Schizosaccharomyces pombe: one gene and its partners. The gene in region 1 interacts genetically with each later gene. Each region holds a gene or a part of one and is shown in the gene's direction. Other genes may lie near its edges.

Region 1 (4,276 bases):
GAAGCCTATAAGGACTGATCCGGCGCAACAAAAGATCAATCCCATTCAAGTTGCACACTTTCAATTTAGCTTCTTTTGAATTAGCGAGAATGATAGCTAAAATTTCAACAGCGTACTGCAAATTAGTTGATATAGAAGTTTCATCAACAGACGATCTACTCAGTAACCATTCTACCAATGTTGTGTTTTCAACTATTATTGAACAAATGCTATTGTCCACAGATAATAAATTCTCCATAAGAGAGAGCACACAATATACTCCATGTCGGTCTTCCTCATTAGATTCGTCAAACCTTTTGATTGTATTTGAAAGCAAAGGAAGCAAACCAGAATCTATAAGGGAAGTAAATAAGGAGTTTAATGCGTCTGGGTCAACATCCTCGTCAGTCAGTTCTATCAATAGCTCCAATACCGTAATAGTAATATCCGCATTTTCATGGTTCATTAATTCTAAAAACGTGGAAACACAATCTAATTTAAGGAAAATGGGTATGAGGATAGGATACTCTGAAAGCACATTGAAGCTTCGAATTTCCAGATCAAGATCTGCCTCTGATTCTATAAACCTTTGAGGAGAAGTAGAATACTTGATGCGTAACTCCTGATTATTATTAATTGTTTTTTCAAGTCGTACTACCATGCGCTTCAATTCAGTAGGAGTCAATGAAGCAGGTTCTTCCTGGGCTTCCTGTTCGTCTAAAAAGTCTAAAACGGTTTTTTCACTCTTTTTAAGCCCACTTCCAAAAAATCTACCTCCTTCCTCGTCAAATTCTTCATTCTCCTCATCGCTATTCTCTTCAGCGAGTCTTCTGCGACTACTAGCTGGCTCCAAAGAGTCTGCTTCCTCAGGGTTCCTTTTCTTATTTGTTTCCTCGGTATTTTTAAAAATTGAATCTACATCCATTTAGAATAATGTATTTTTTATGCGCCAGTTTCCTTTTCAAATTGAATATATGAAAACCGTCTGATACAAAATAAATAATTTTGACAAACTTATATTTTATAGCCGCATCAAGTAAAATAAAAGCCTTATGAAAAGACTATCGTGCAATTCAATTATAACGCCTGACTCGTTCCTAAAATTCCTCTCGTTTACCAGTTCAAGTAAAAGCTAGGTAAGATGTAGGCATGTACAAAGTGTATCAAAAGTGAAAACCAGAATCTAAGCTTGGAAAAAAATAATAACAGCAAGTAAATTCCCCTCTGTTTTATAAATATTATACAACTCTTATATCCAAGAAAGGAGAGATTGGAAGAAGGATAAAAAGTGTTTATTTAAGAGAAGAGAAGCTAAATAAAGTGCATGCAGTTAACTCGAAATTTTTTAGGTTGATTAAATAAGGAAGAAATTAGATCCATCTTGTATTACCTTTCTTTTAATTGTAGCAATGACTTTTCAAAAGAGGGTGTAAAAATGACATCCTAACTGTATATATGATAAAATTACAATTATGGATTTTCTAAAGCAATTTAAATTTAGCTATTATCACTAAAACAGTTCGGCAATTTGCAATATTTGTCTAATAAATGAACCATTTGTTTCATAAACAATCAAATTCATTAAGCTACAAATCCTTAATTGTATCTTTAGTTTTGAGTCAATCAACTTACTGGGATCCTATAGCTTTTTTGAATATCATTTGGTAAATTCAAATATGGCTCTTAAAACTTGTATTTAATTTGATAAAATTTCTGTGTCGAGAGATAAATAAATAAAGACAGTTAGAAGTAGATGCTATTCAATTAATAAATAAAATACTCGTCTATTAAGCTTTACGGCTTTCCAAAAATTTATATATCAGAATAAAATATTTCACAATTTTTTTTTTTTTAAAAAAGAAAAAGCAATCTCAATTTTCATTTCCTTTAGTAATCTGCATACCTTTTAAAATTGTGCACCTTTTCGAATTTTACTAAATAACTTCTAACTTGAACTGTCTTTCTTATTCTGCGTTTGGTCTTGTAATCAAGTGTCAAGTCCTTTAATATCAGAAGGAAAAATTATCAATTTATAAGATTAGCATTTACGGGTGTTCAAGTTGTAGCATATAACCAATTTTTTATTGTTGGACGTAAATTCGCATGTTTCAAGCAGAAACAGTATGCTTAAAGCAGATTCAGTCAACATTACGATGCATTGATTTTTCAAAGGAATGTACTATCGAAATCACAAGTCGTGGACTACGGTTTGCAGTGGAGGAATCGCAGTCTTTGCAGGGTAAGACAAGTCGAGTCTCACATCTATGATCGTTAAAAAATTTGAAGCTACTTAATAAAGTTTCATATATTAATGCGATTCTTGAAATGCATTCACTTTTTCTTTATTGTTCACTCACACATTAAGCTCACGCCTTTCTTGATAAGTCGTTGTTTCAAACGTTTAATTTTCAGGGTGATTCAGATGGGGATACATATATGTTCCAGACGATGATTTCACCTCTTTTACAATCATTATCAATTTATACAGATGGAAAAGAACGGATTTCAACTAGTGCCTGGGATCAACCCACTGTAAACATAATGCACAAACGAGGCGTTATCTGCAAAGTACAGTATAATGGACCCGGCTGTCCATTTATATGGGAGTAAGGATTTTATCATTAACATTCTGTACTGACAAAAATAAAGAGTAGAGGAAATGGCTGGTTATGCTACGGCTTGTGAACTGTTGACTATGGAATGTGAGGACGACGTTGACATCAATAGACTTGCAAGCACATTGTGCACGAAGATCATTATGAAAAGTAACTGGCTATATGATGCCTTGGTGGAATTAGACAATAACATGGGCGAAAATTTAATTATTCATACATCATCCCAAAAATCAACCTTCTTATTGAGATGTGTAGGGGCATTATCCACTACGGAAATAGAATATCCAAACGAGAAAAGTGTTTTAGAGTCTTTTGAAACTGATTCTGAAAACACTTATTCCTACCGCTTCTCATTAATAAGACATGCGCTGAAAGCATTACAAGTGGGTTCTAAAGTAAACCTACGTATTGATGAAAATGGAACTTTGAGCATTCAAATCATGCTTGTCGGTCAAGAAGGGCTTTGTACGTTTGTAGACTTTTGTATTGTTCCTTTGGACCTTGTAAGTGAAGATGAGGAGGAGGATGAAGAAGAAGAACCAGCAGAATCTAATCAGTCGGACAATAACGTTTTACGAAACGATCCGAATTATCGAGGAGATGCGGAGACCGAGGATGAGGATAGCTAAATGATAATTTTAGCACTCAGCACTTTAGTGTTTCCGATAACTTCAAAAAAAGAAAAAGGTACAATTGATACTGAACAACTTATGATAATACACTTATTCAACGAATCATGATTTATTTCCCTGCTTTTTGTTTGGTCTTATTTAGGTAGCTTAAAGTCACACCGTTTCCTCACTTTTTCTATGCTTATTTAACACACGTATAAACAAGACGCTTTCCACTAGGCTGTCTAGCAAAGCATGTAGCCAACAAAATTCCCATGTATCATACACACGATTATACATTATGGTTAGATCTACGAAGCATTCAAAAATTCTTCAAACATTATTGATTTTTAAAAAATAGAAAATGCAAAGTGACACTCATAAAACATTTGTTTACTCAAAATGGAGTCTCATCTCCTCTTGCATTCCATTTTTGGACGTTGTTGAGTCTCTGATCACAAATTCTCGCACTTTCCAACTTTATCTTGATAATTCTCATATCCTCACCCTCCACGTATTGTTTCGTATTACCCTTGTCATTAGTGTTTAAATGCTTTTCTCTAAAGAATTCCTCTTCTTTGCTATTCTTTGGAAGAACGGTAGCAAGGCCATTCAAGGTCACTGATGTATTCGAGAACTGAGCCTGATTCATTTTATAAAGTAAGGTGTACAATGAGGAGGCATCAGGATCTGTTTCTTGACGATTAGTGGTCCAGTCATGAACTAGTAATGATACTCGAGGATTCTAGTCATCATGTTAGAAAAAAGAAAATACCAATCAGGATCAAGGATAAGTTAAACTTTTAAATATGATACATACCGAACTGATGTTAAAATATTTTTTACTGTTTTCTCCTGTTGACAAAATAATGCAATCCTCCACTTCGTAAGGGGCAGCGCTTCCTGCAGGTAAATAGGTAAATGTCATCAAAGAAGAGTGAGGCTGATCATGAAAGCAAGTAGCTAGTTGAATATATTTGGATGAGGACAAGCATCTCTTGATTTGGCTGGGGAACTCATGAGATGAATCGACTTTTGAGGCCATATTTACTTTCAGGTTATTGTGGTGCG
Region 2 (7,170 bases), on another chromosome or scaffold:
CGAGATAAAATTTGAATTTCATAATAGTAGATAGAAGTGTTTGATGGAATTGCATGATCAGCTTTTACAGACGCCGCATCATGTTCAGTGCCGGCTTCAGGACCTATTAAAGATTAGTTATAAACCATTATAATTAATACAACGAACCAAAGAAATAAACCCCCATGTTGTTATTCATCAATTCTAATGAATCTGACTTATCGTTGGGATTCCATGAAGATGGAATGGCTTTCGGCGTATTTGTTACATTGCCCTCCCTTGTCATGTCAAACTCTCGTAAATACTTCTCCCATTTCAGCCATCGTGGGTCACTTCTAAGCACATTTTCTCCGTAATTGGTTCCTTGTAAATACAAGGGGAGATTGTCGAAGTTAATCGGCTGTTTTTCAAGATTCTTTGGTGTACTAGTCATTCGCAGGTATGCTCTTGGTAGCATATAAACAGCCAGTTTTAGTAGCTTATTCAGCTATCAGTTTAAATGTTCAATTTTCTAATCAGTTTTTCTTTTGTAATTAAATACAAATCTTTTGTAATAATAATTGGTAAAACTCTTAAATTTTTAAATGACGTGTAAATTTCAGCAACTCTATAAAATGCTCTGAGACTGAAAAGATACTTCACTATACGGCTTCATAAGGATTAAAGGCTCAAAATTAGAAATACAAATATTAGGCTGTATATACAGTCCTATTACTAATCAGAAAAAAATTCAGGCACAACATAACATTGATACTTGTCTTGCGATAATACATAACACAATGACATTGAGAATCAATAATAATAAAATAGTATTATAATCTAACGGAAAGCTAAAAAAACGACTGCATTAACGGAATGCATTAAACAAGAATAGCTTTAATCGAGCATCATAATAACAACTTCAACTTCTGGAACTAAATAATGATAGACGGTCCTTAAAAAACCATTCGGTGGTTTTCAGGAGGTTGTGGCATTGCATGAAGGAATTGCTTAATCGATGAGATGAAATAATTTCAACTTCCATTATCAATGAAGAAAGTTTAACTAAAGACATTTTTTCAAGCATTGAATAGGAAAAGAAAATCCATATGACTAAACAGAAATGAAAATGAGTATGAAATAGACCGGCCTAACTAAATTTCATCGATTTCTTTATATCTCTGCATTAAAAGACGTTTGTACTCGATAGGGTCTTTACTCCACAATTCTGCAGCTCTAAGAATTGTTAATAATCAAAAAAGGTAAATGAGATATTTTCAACATACTGAGCATTCAAGGGAGAAGCATTGTTTGGCTCACCCAGCAGACTTTGTAGAGATAACAAAATTGTCTGTACGTTATAGACTGCTGACCATTTATCTTTTAAAATGTCTAAACATATGTTTCCACTCATATCGACATTGGGGTGCCACATTGGTGAAGTAAAAATGATAGTTGGAGGGGAATATGGGTAATTAGCTGGAAATGACATTGAAATTTTAAATTTCAATCCTTCATAGTACTATTTTCGTTACGTTAGTCGTATGAAAAAGAAGAAAGAAGAGTAGACAGTTATGAAAATGTAATGACAAAGATGTGTATTAATTTTCCATTAAAGTGCAGCTACAAGTAAGCACACCAAGCATTATTCATATACTTTAAATATTAAGCTTTCAAAATAAAAGTCATACCGTATCGCTTGGGCCGGTAATTGTGCCAGCCCAATGTAGCAGGTTAGAATCAGAATCTGGAAACGCACTAATTCCAGGAGTATTGGACATCTAGTCATAAAACCCTAGTTAATAACAAAGTAAAAAAGCTTATTACAAACCATTAAACTCATTAATTCGCTTCTCAATCTACAAATGCATTAGAGACTTTTTTCCTAAAAACTGTTTATTTTTTACCGTTTTGTAACGCTATGACCGTCAACAGCCATGCCAGCAGAAGAAGAGTTTTTAGAATTAGTATGAGGGTTCTGGTTTTGCATATCAGAATCCATTCCTCAAGTTGTTACTGTAGTTTCTCAATGAGTACGTGGTGGTAGGAGAGTAAGTTATAAACACAACACAACATGTGCTAATGTACACAAGTAAACGAAAACCGGATATCAAATTATAGTCCAATTTTATATCATTATATAGATTTAAAACTCATTTAAAAATTACCTTAATTTAATCTTTTCCAGTCTTTGATGATGTTAAGACTGTAAATAATACACATGCCAAAATTTGCAACATATGCTTGTGTTATATTATAATCTTCTTTCCCTTTACACCAAAGAATGGCTCAAAAATTAGATAACTTTCCTTACCATATTGGTAGAGAAATAGGTACTGGGGCTTTTGCTTCGTATGAATTTTGATTTGAAAAATACTATATACTAACTTAAGCAAGCGTCCGTTTATGTTACGATGATAATGCTAAAATATATGCTGTCAAATTTGTCAATAAAAAACATGCTACTAGTTGTATGAATGCAGGGGTATGGGCTAGAAGGATGGCTAGTGAAATACAACTTCACAAACTATGCAATGGACATAAAAATATCATTCATTTTTATAATACAGCAGAAAATCCCCAATGGAGATGGGTAGTACTTGAATTTGCTCAAGGTGGTGACTTATTTGACAAAATAGGTGGGTGCATGAACCTTTCGTTTTTACTAACGGACTTACAATTTAGAGCCTGATGTAGGTATTGATGAGGACGTCGCTCAGTTTTATTTTGCTCAACTTATGGAAGGTATTTCCTTCATGCACTCTAAAGGTGTCGCGCATCGAGACTTGAAACCTGAGAACATCCTTTTAGATTACAATGGTAACTTAAAGATTTCAGACTTCGGCTTTGCATCTTTATTTTCCTATAAAGGTAAAAGTAGGCTTTTGAATAGTCCAGTGGGTAGTCCACCATACGCTGCTCCAGAAATTACACAGCAGTATGATGGTTCAAAAGTTGATGTCTGGTCCTGCGGTATAATTCTTTTTGCTTTGTTATTAGGCAACACACCTTGGGATGAAGCAATTAGCAACACTGGTGACTACTTGCTTTATAAAAAACAATGTGAACGCCCGTCTTACCACCCATGGAACTTGTTGTCTCCAGGAGCCTATTGTAAGTCCTGACTGAAATTCCTTTAAACTAATGATCAGCGATTATCACCGGAATGCTTCGAAGTGATCCATTTAAGCGCTACTCTGTCAAACATGTTGTACAGCACCCATGGCTTACCTCAAGTACACCATTTCGAACTAAAAATGGGAATTGTGCCGATCCTGTAGCATTGGCATCAAGGCTCATGTTGAAACTTCGTATTGATTTAGATAAACCACGTCTTGCCTCATCTAGAGCATCTCAAAAGTAAGATCTTGCACAGTTGTTTCATATTTCTAACTCTTTCAATTAGCGATAGCGGTTTTTCAATGACACAGCCAGCTTTTAAAAAAAATGACCAAAAGGAGTTGGATCGTGTAGAAGTTTATGGCGCCTTATCCCAGCCAGTACAACTTAATAAAAATATTGACGTTACTGAAATCCTTGAAAAAGACCCCTCATTGAGTCAGTTTTGTGAGAATGAAGGTTTTATTAAAAGATTGGTATTATTTATTTAAACCTAAATTTTTTCTAACTATATGAAAAAGGCCAAAAAGGCTAAGAATTTCTACGAAATTTGTCCTCCTGAAAGACTCACTAGGTTTTATTCTAGGGCGTCGAGAGAAACCATTATAGATCATCTTTATGACAGTCTACGACTACTTGCAATCTCAGTGACTATGAAATATGTTCGAAATCAGACCATCCTTTATGTTAATTTACATGATAAACGGAAATGTCTCTTGCAAGGTGTTATTGAACTAACTAATTTAGGCCATAACTTAGAGCTTATAAACTTTATAAAGCGTAATGGGGATCCTCTTGAATGGAGAAAATTTTTTAAAGTATGTCTTTATCATAGGGATTTCATATACTAATCCATGTGAAAGAACGTTGTCAGTTCAATAGGGAAGCCGATTGTTCTTACAGATGTTTCACAAAATTAATTGCACATCTTTTGAAAGGTCGTGCCAGTTCGTTTGTAAAAGAAACCTGTTGTTTGACTTCGTTGTGAATTTATTTTCAATTTTGTGGTAGTACAAATGATATCCTAGGGAATAGGATTATTAACGCTTTGTCAAGCAAATATCAATGGTTGCGAATGCTGAAGATATATTATTAGCATAAGGATAGTTCTTCCGACTGGCCATGCCGTTTAATACATCATTGTACCCAATATTCTTTTCTCACAATTCTTTCTTCTTTTTCTCTTTTTTAGTGAGATATCTGACGGCTCATTTGATTTTAAAAGGGATAACTCTTCTGAAATAACTCTTTCAAACGATTCTAAAAGGTCTTCATTTTCTTGGTCGGAGTATAAAAACTCATCTTCTTTACAAAATAGTAAAAGGTTCTTTTTTGTGAATTCTTGTCTCTCTTTGGCTTCCAGGTAAGCATGCAAAGGAAAATGTGACATCGATGAACCAGTACTTATCAATGTAGTTATCCATAAAATATCGTCTGGAGTCTCTGCAGACATTAACATGTCTTCTCTTGTAGCCTCATCTACTTTTAAAAACTTCTTTCCGTGAAGTACTTCGGGAAGCTCTAAGAAACAGTTAAAGCCCTCACACACGATATGTAGCCAGCGATGATTTTCAGTAACAACGTATATATCCGAAGATTCAATTAAATGCATCCGGATGTCTCCTATTCTCTTTTCGGCTGCTACTTTGTGAACAGGTGTTAGTTCTCCTAAACTCACCTTTTCATTCACTAGTCGTTCTAATGCTTTCCATAGATATGTTTGGTGAGCAGGAGGATAAAGATCATATAGCATTAGCTGATGAGTTAATACCTTGATGTCCATTATCCCTTTAGACAACTTTAAGTGAAGCCTTTTAATACAGCTGTTCTTGTTTACAAGTGATAGCATATTTTCAAGGCAGCTATTAGTTATTTGAGGTTTCACTAATGTTTTTGATGTTCCATTTTTAGTATCGAAGACATTCATCAAGTTTTTATCTTCGTGCTCAAAGATGGTAATAGTTACTGTAGGTGGAAAAAAGGCTTTACTCTTGAATTGAACATCTTCGATACATATATCTAGGTTATCACAAAAGAAGTTTACCCAAGGAATTTCAGTAGAGCACATGTCTGATACTTGGGCAAATTTGCAAAAGCTTGGGGTAATAACCTTTTGGTCACTGAAAAGAAACTTTGTGCATTGCTGTGACAAGTCGAGGACCCTTTCATTATCTTTTTTTTCTTTTATTGTAGCCTGTTCGTTTCTAGAGCTTTTGGATTCGAGTACACTTTCATATTTCAATTCAGAATCATATATTGGCGATACTTCACTGGAAGCGATGAGGTCGGAATATATAATCTGTGTTTCTTCTAGGTCGGGAAATTCGGTAAAATCTTTTACTCCTTCTATTATGGCTTGTTCATTTTCAAAGCACTTAGATTCGAGTATATTTTCAATTGCTAATTCAGAATCATATATCGGCGATATTTCACTTAAAGTCGTGGATTCGGGATATAAAATCTGTGAAGATAGTGATAAGTCAGAAAGCTCAGAGCTCTGTTTTATATCTTTTAATTCAGCATTTTCTGAGTGGTTCGGTTTGTGGGTACCTTTAGGTGCTGATTTGGAATTATTAATTGGCGCCAATTTGCTCAAGGTTGTAAATCTACAGCTTAGAAGCTGTGGATACCGAGGCTTAAATATATCTTTATCTCCCGTATTGCTTTCTTTCAATAGTGCCCTCTTCGGTTGAGTTAAATGCGAAAATGCCTTTGTTGCTTTTATTGCGGATGTAACCTGACTAATGGAAGAATTTTCGTTAAATTTTTCAGGTTTTGTTTGGTATTTACGAGCTGCCAAATGTAATTTGATGTTACTATTCGTTGAAGATGATATTGATTCCTTTTTATTGTATGCAGCATTCCAGTATTGGGATAAACTTTTAAACGGCGAGCTATTAATAGTTGAAAGTTTCGTCTGGAGTTCTGATTCCATAAAAGAGGTGCCGCCCAATTGCAGTATACAAGCTATGAATGTTATTGGCTTGCTTACGCCGAGCTTGTCGAAAAGGTTATTAGCCTTTGAAGGATTTTGGTTTGAAGACTTATTTTCCTGTTGACTTAAGAAGCCTTCTTCATTTTTTTTTTTTAAAGTATAATTGTTCTCTATTGATTTTGGCTCAACTTGGGGTTCTAATGGCATTTCTGCCATGCTTTCATCGTTATCAGAACCCATACAGCAGAGAGGAGCGCAAATTTTTAGGATCTTTGATTTAAAACTTGTCCAAGAGCTACCAGAGCAGTGAGTATCACATCGGTTACTTTTTCCCTTTTCCTGTATTTTATCAGGACGAAAGGCACCTGATATTTTAATCTCTGGATAAGCAATTTTACTGTTCATTACGAAGTTACTTGGCTCTTTTGAGGCTTGAGTGATTGCCAGTTGGATAACTCAGTAATTAGAGATCGTGTTCAATCTCTTGAAGTGTATACAAAGGTTGGGTAAAACATGTTCAACCTTGGGTTATTTATATTAAAAAACAATTCATTTCGTTTATATTAACACATTGTTTTATCATAACTAATAATTTATGAAATCCCTCACAATAAACAAACATCGAATGATAATTTGATGCTCACCTAACATTTGCTTAAAAAAGTGTTAAGTAAACATTTAATATTACTAAAAGATGATCATTTAAAAATAAAAGCTTTCGCTAACCATTTGCATCCTGGATAAATAGCTCAAATAACAAAGGATTTAGATTAACTGAATAGTAATAATATCCTTAGCTAAGCCTTTGAACTAAGCCTAAATAAACAACACCAATTACTCACTATTTACAATGGATGTTTGACTTGTAACCAATAAGGAGGCAAGATTTACTAAAGACAACCAAGTATAATGTTGTAAACAAAAATAATAAACAAATCAACATTGCTGCAATTATACATTCGAAAAGAATCATTTAACGCAATTCTGAGTTAAAGGAAAATAATGTGTAAATAAACAAACGAAAAAGAGTGGAATACTAGCAACTGTAAATAAACAGAAGTTATTTTTTAGTGATCGAATTATATTGTATTTATGTTGTCAAAAGTTATTGATTCATGAATACCCCCGAAAATATCTTTCTGAAGTAAAAATTTCAG
Region 3 (3,583 bases), on another chromosome or scaffold:
AATAATTTTGAATGCAAAAACCTTCATTGTCACAAGACCTTATTTGGATATTGAAATCAGTCCAATCTCGTAGGTCTACGAAAGGGTTTTTGCAAAAACATTCTTCGCTTAAGGATGGCTCTCCCAACAAGAAATCCTTCGCTCAGCCAATATCGAGTTCGTTTTTAAACAGAATTTCTATTACCAAAATTGATGATGTGGATTCTTTAAGTGATAATACCCTATATGGAATTGGTCGAAGTATAAATAGCCTGGCACGTTTAGGGATTCAATCAGTGATTGTTCCCACTTCCAATCCAATTGGCATGACATCTCCTTTTAAATATTTGGAGAATGGTACGGTCGTAGCGAAAAAACGTAAACTTTCAATCTTTGAGGAGCTACAGCAACAGCAAAATAGAGTCATTCGAGTTTCGGAAATTTTTTCGAAAGCGGGAGTGTTAACCCGTCCTAGCTACTCCTCTGTATGTCAATTGGGCCCTGAAGGCCCTAGTGTTGAGAATGTGCAAGGTATTTTTCAAGCGCTGTCTTCACTTTACACGGTCATAGTGCCAAGCTCGATTTTAATGCCCAACGTCATTGAGGTTCCAATTGATGGTAATGAGGTTCTTGCTGGTTTAACTTACTCGTTACACAAGCCAAACTTTGGGTTTTGGGTAGACCGAATCGTCATTCTTGATAAAAATGGTGGCATGCCATGTTCTAAACGACAAACTGGTTCTAGTCATGTTCTCATCAATCTGGCTCAAGAGTTTGACGAGTTAGCGAAAACACTTCCACCTTATCATAGAAAAAATTTGATTTTGGTAAGACGCTGTTTGAAAATGTTACCGGATGATGCCTCTGCTCTAATCACTACGCCTGAGGATGCTATGCTTACAAATCCTGTCTTAGACAAAAATCCGTTAATTCACAATGTTTTGACGGATCGCTCTATTATTTCATGTTCCTTGCCGCGCGATCGATCTCCTATTACGAAAACAACTGTTTTGCGTAGCGGTGTACCGGTATATACATTCCTAGGTCCGAAATGTCTAACTGATGGCTCCGTTTCGTGGGAAAGGCTTTGGGTTTTAATTAATGACTCCTTTAAGCGAACGCTTGATATGGACGCATATTTAGATAGGTTGAAGAATTCGCTAGCTGCAGTCATTATTGCAGGGGACTATTTAGGGACAGCCATTGTAACTTATGAACAACCAGATGGAACAACGAATGAAAAGGTCCCTTATCTTGATAAGCTTGCCGTCTCACAAGGAGCCCAGGGTTCAGCAGCAATATCTGATGTTATGTTTAATGTTATGACTGATTTATTTCCCAAAGAGTTGATATGGCGCTCTCGCCTGACTAATCCAGTCAATAAATGGTACTTTGAAAGAAGTGTAGGCTCCTTAAAGTCAAGCAAAACACCTTGGAAACTTTTCTGGACTGGAGACTCACATGTCAGAAATTTGGATCGAGTGAACCAGTATATGAGCGTTATTGATAAAATTCAGCCAACATGGTTGAATTGAGTGGAAGTTAACGATTGCACTTTATCAGAGACAAGATTATTTCGCTTCTTCAAAAGCACTTGTCAAACTTTTTAATAAAAGGAAAAAAGTCCATTTTGATAGGACATTAATTCTCTTTTGCACATTAGATTATAGATTGAGTAGTTTGCCTACAAACTTGCATTTTTCTTTAGTTATGATTTTTGTTTATTCCCCCACATAACCCCCATGTAGAGCTTAGAAAAGGTGATACTAGCTTTTTTCTTTTGTGAGTATCAACGTTTATCAACAAAACTAGTAGTAAACATGTCTTATAAACTTGAGTTGTTGCGTCGTGCCTTAGAACATAATGTTTTGAAGTTTGGAACTTTCACCTTAAAATCAGGCAGAAAATCTCCATACTTCTTCAATTCTGGTAATTTCACTCATGGTGCCGATTTATGCGCTCTTGCAGAAGCCTATGCCGAGACTATTATCGCTATGAACGTTGATTTTGATGTCATATTTGGTCCTGCTTATAAGGGTATCTCTTTGGCTGCTATAACGGCCGTCAAACTTTATGAAAAAACTGGAAAGAGCTATGGATTTGCCTATAACCGCAAAGAGGCCAAGTCCCATGGTGAAGGAGGTAACCTTGTAGGCGCCGAAATGGAAGGTAAAAAGGTTTTACTTTTGGATGATGTTATTACCGCTGGAACTGCCATTCGTGAAGCAATTTCCTTCTTAGAACCTAAGCACGTAAAATTGGCTGGTATCGTCCTTTTGCTTGACCGCCAAGAGCGACTGGACCCCGAAGTAAACGAAAGTACCATTGGTAGATTGAAGAAGGAGCTTAACTTACCCGTTTCCTCCATCCTTACTTTGGACGACATTGTTGACTTTACCAAATCAGACTTAACTGCAGCTGAATCAAAGGCAATGGATGCTTACAGACAGCAGTACCAAGCCAAATGAGCTTATGGTAATGTTTCTTTTAAAAATTTGGAAGGAGGAAAGAGAATAATTGGATAAGTATCTTTTTTGGTTTTTAGCTTTGCTTTTTTAAAGAGAGTGAAGTTAGTTGGTATTTACATATGTTATAGAATTTTTTTATCTGTATATTTGTGGTGATAGATACAACTCATATTAGAAGGAATTTTCTATAAAGCGATTGCATTTAGCGGTATTCAAAAATTTCTCTATAATAGACGAAGGAAATTGGTTTACTTGTTAAGCTTTTGTTTTGCACATATCCATCTATCTTTTGATTAGTTCCGTGAATCTGTTTTTTTTGTGTTTGTTTCTTCTTTTGTGTTATTCGAATCTTTCCAAGATGACAGTTAGGAATGAAGCTACCAAAATATTGAGTTGAGGGATAATTAATGTTTCACAAAATGGTATTTGTGTATTATTTTTGTAAAAATTTGTAGGATTTGGTTTTTAGTGATGATTATTTACGTTCGAAAGACGCATATAATGGGCAATTATAAAAAATTTAGGATTTTATTTTTCAATTCTGCGACGGGTATTTATGCTCTGTGTTTGAAATACCAAATATTAAATAATGGTAAAACCTTTAAACAGAAGCCTGGTGATTAACTTTTTATTATGACAAGAAAATGTTAAGAAATTTTGGAATGTTTTTATTCTCATATTCAATGTGAATTTGAATAAGTAGTCACTGCAGTCTATAAATAAAAATGGTTTATTAGAAAAACTCGAGTTGAACAATGAAATTCTTTATCATTTATGTAATACAATTGGTTTAACATAGTGGAATCGAATGGTACAATAATTGAGTTACTAATATGTAACCTTCAAGTATTTATCGTTTACCACTAACTCACCATAAGAGAGGGTGAAAGATTTAGTTCTGTTTGTGTGAGATCTTAAAAAAGCAAGCAAATTTCCTTTTTATCAAAAAAAGGATCCGCATTTCCTGAAGCACTTTACTGTGATTTTAGGGATTTTTTTGGTGAGTAAGAAGCAGTGTTTTTCGATTTTTCTGAGATCTCGCTGTTGAAAAAATCCGGACTAAATCGGCTCCGTAGTCGATAAACCCAAATCTACAGCTTTTTGATTTAAATTATACAAATCGTGATCTGGAAAGT

The links. A genetic interaction does not mean that the proteins touch.
Region 2: of rad1 (region 1) and chk1, a mutation in one rescues a mutant of the other (synthetic rescue), as found in Schizosaccharomyces pombe (2 studies listed by BioGRID, with this or other methods).
Region 3: mutations in rad1 (region 1) and ura5 together harm fitness more than expected from each alone (negative genetic interaction), as found in Schizosaccharomyces pombe (2 studies listed by BioGRID).

The regions. Positions count from the first base shown.
Region 1 is NC_003424.3:4,976,537-4,980,812, forward strand, and holds rad1 (checkpoint clamp complex protein Rad1), read left to right. Parts: upstream 1-2,041; 5' UTR 2,042-2,082; coding exon 2,083-2,218; exon of another isoform or gene 2,219-2,344; coding exon 2,345-2,585; exon of another isoform or gene 2,586-2,628; coding exon 2,629-3,223; 3' UTR 3,224-3,602; downstream 3,603-4,276. Other genes in the region: SPOM_SPAC1952.06C (uncharacterized protein), read right to left, coding at 1-904; SPOM_SPAC1952.08C (pyridoxamine 5'-phosphate oxidase), read right to left, coding at 3,603-3,950, 4,026-4,250. UniProt on the Schizosaccharomyces pombe protein: Recombinational reparation of DNA damages induced by UV and gamma radiation.
Region 2 is NC_003421.2:1,057,778-1,064,947, forward strand, and holds chk1 (protein kinase Chk1), read left to right. Parts: upstream 1-2,018; 5' UTR 2,019-2,242; coding exon 2,243-2,310; intron 2,311-2,355; coding exon 2,356-2,597; exon of another isoform or gene 2,598-2,643; coding exon 2,644-3,072; exon of another isoform or gene 3,073-3,110; coding exon 3,111-3,318; exon of another isoform or gene 3,319-3,364; coding exon 3,365-3,554; intron 3,555-3,599; coding exon 3,600-3,896; exon of another isoform or gene 3,897-3,941; coding exon 3,942-3,998; 3' UTR 3,999-4,207; coding exon of another isoform or gene 4,208-6,418; 3' UTR 6,419-6,666; downstream 6,667-7,170. Other genes in the region: gid1 (putative Ran GTPase binding protein), read right to left, coding at 1-103, 148-412; ubiquitin-conjugating enzyme E2-C Ubc11, read right to left, coding at 1,113-1,194, 1,245-1,480, 1,650-1,739, 1,790-1,817, 1,866-1,960; protein Meu27, read right to left, coding at 4,208-6,418.
Region 3 is NC_003423.3:1,229,280-1,232,862, forward strand, and holds ura5 (orotate phosphoribosyltransferase Ura5), read left to right. Parts: upstream 1-1,763; 5' UTR 1,764-1,799; coding exon 1,800-2,447; 3' UTR 2,448-3,079; downstream 3,080-3,583. Other genes in the region: acetylglutamate synthase Arg6, read left to right, coding at 12-1,514. UniProt on the Schizosaccharomyces pombe protein: Catalyzes the transfer of a ribosyl phosphate group from 5-phosphoribose 1-diphosphate to orotate, leading to the formation of orotidine monophosphate (OMP).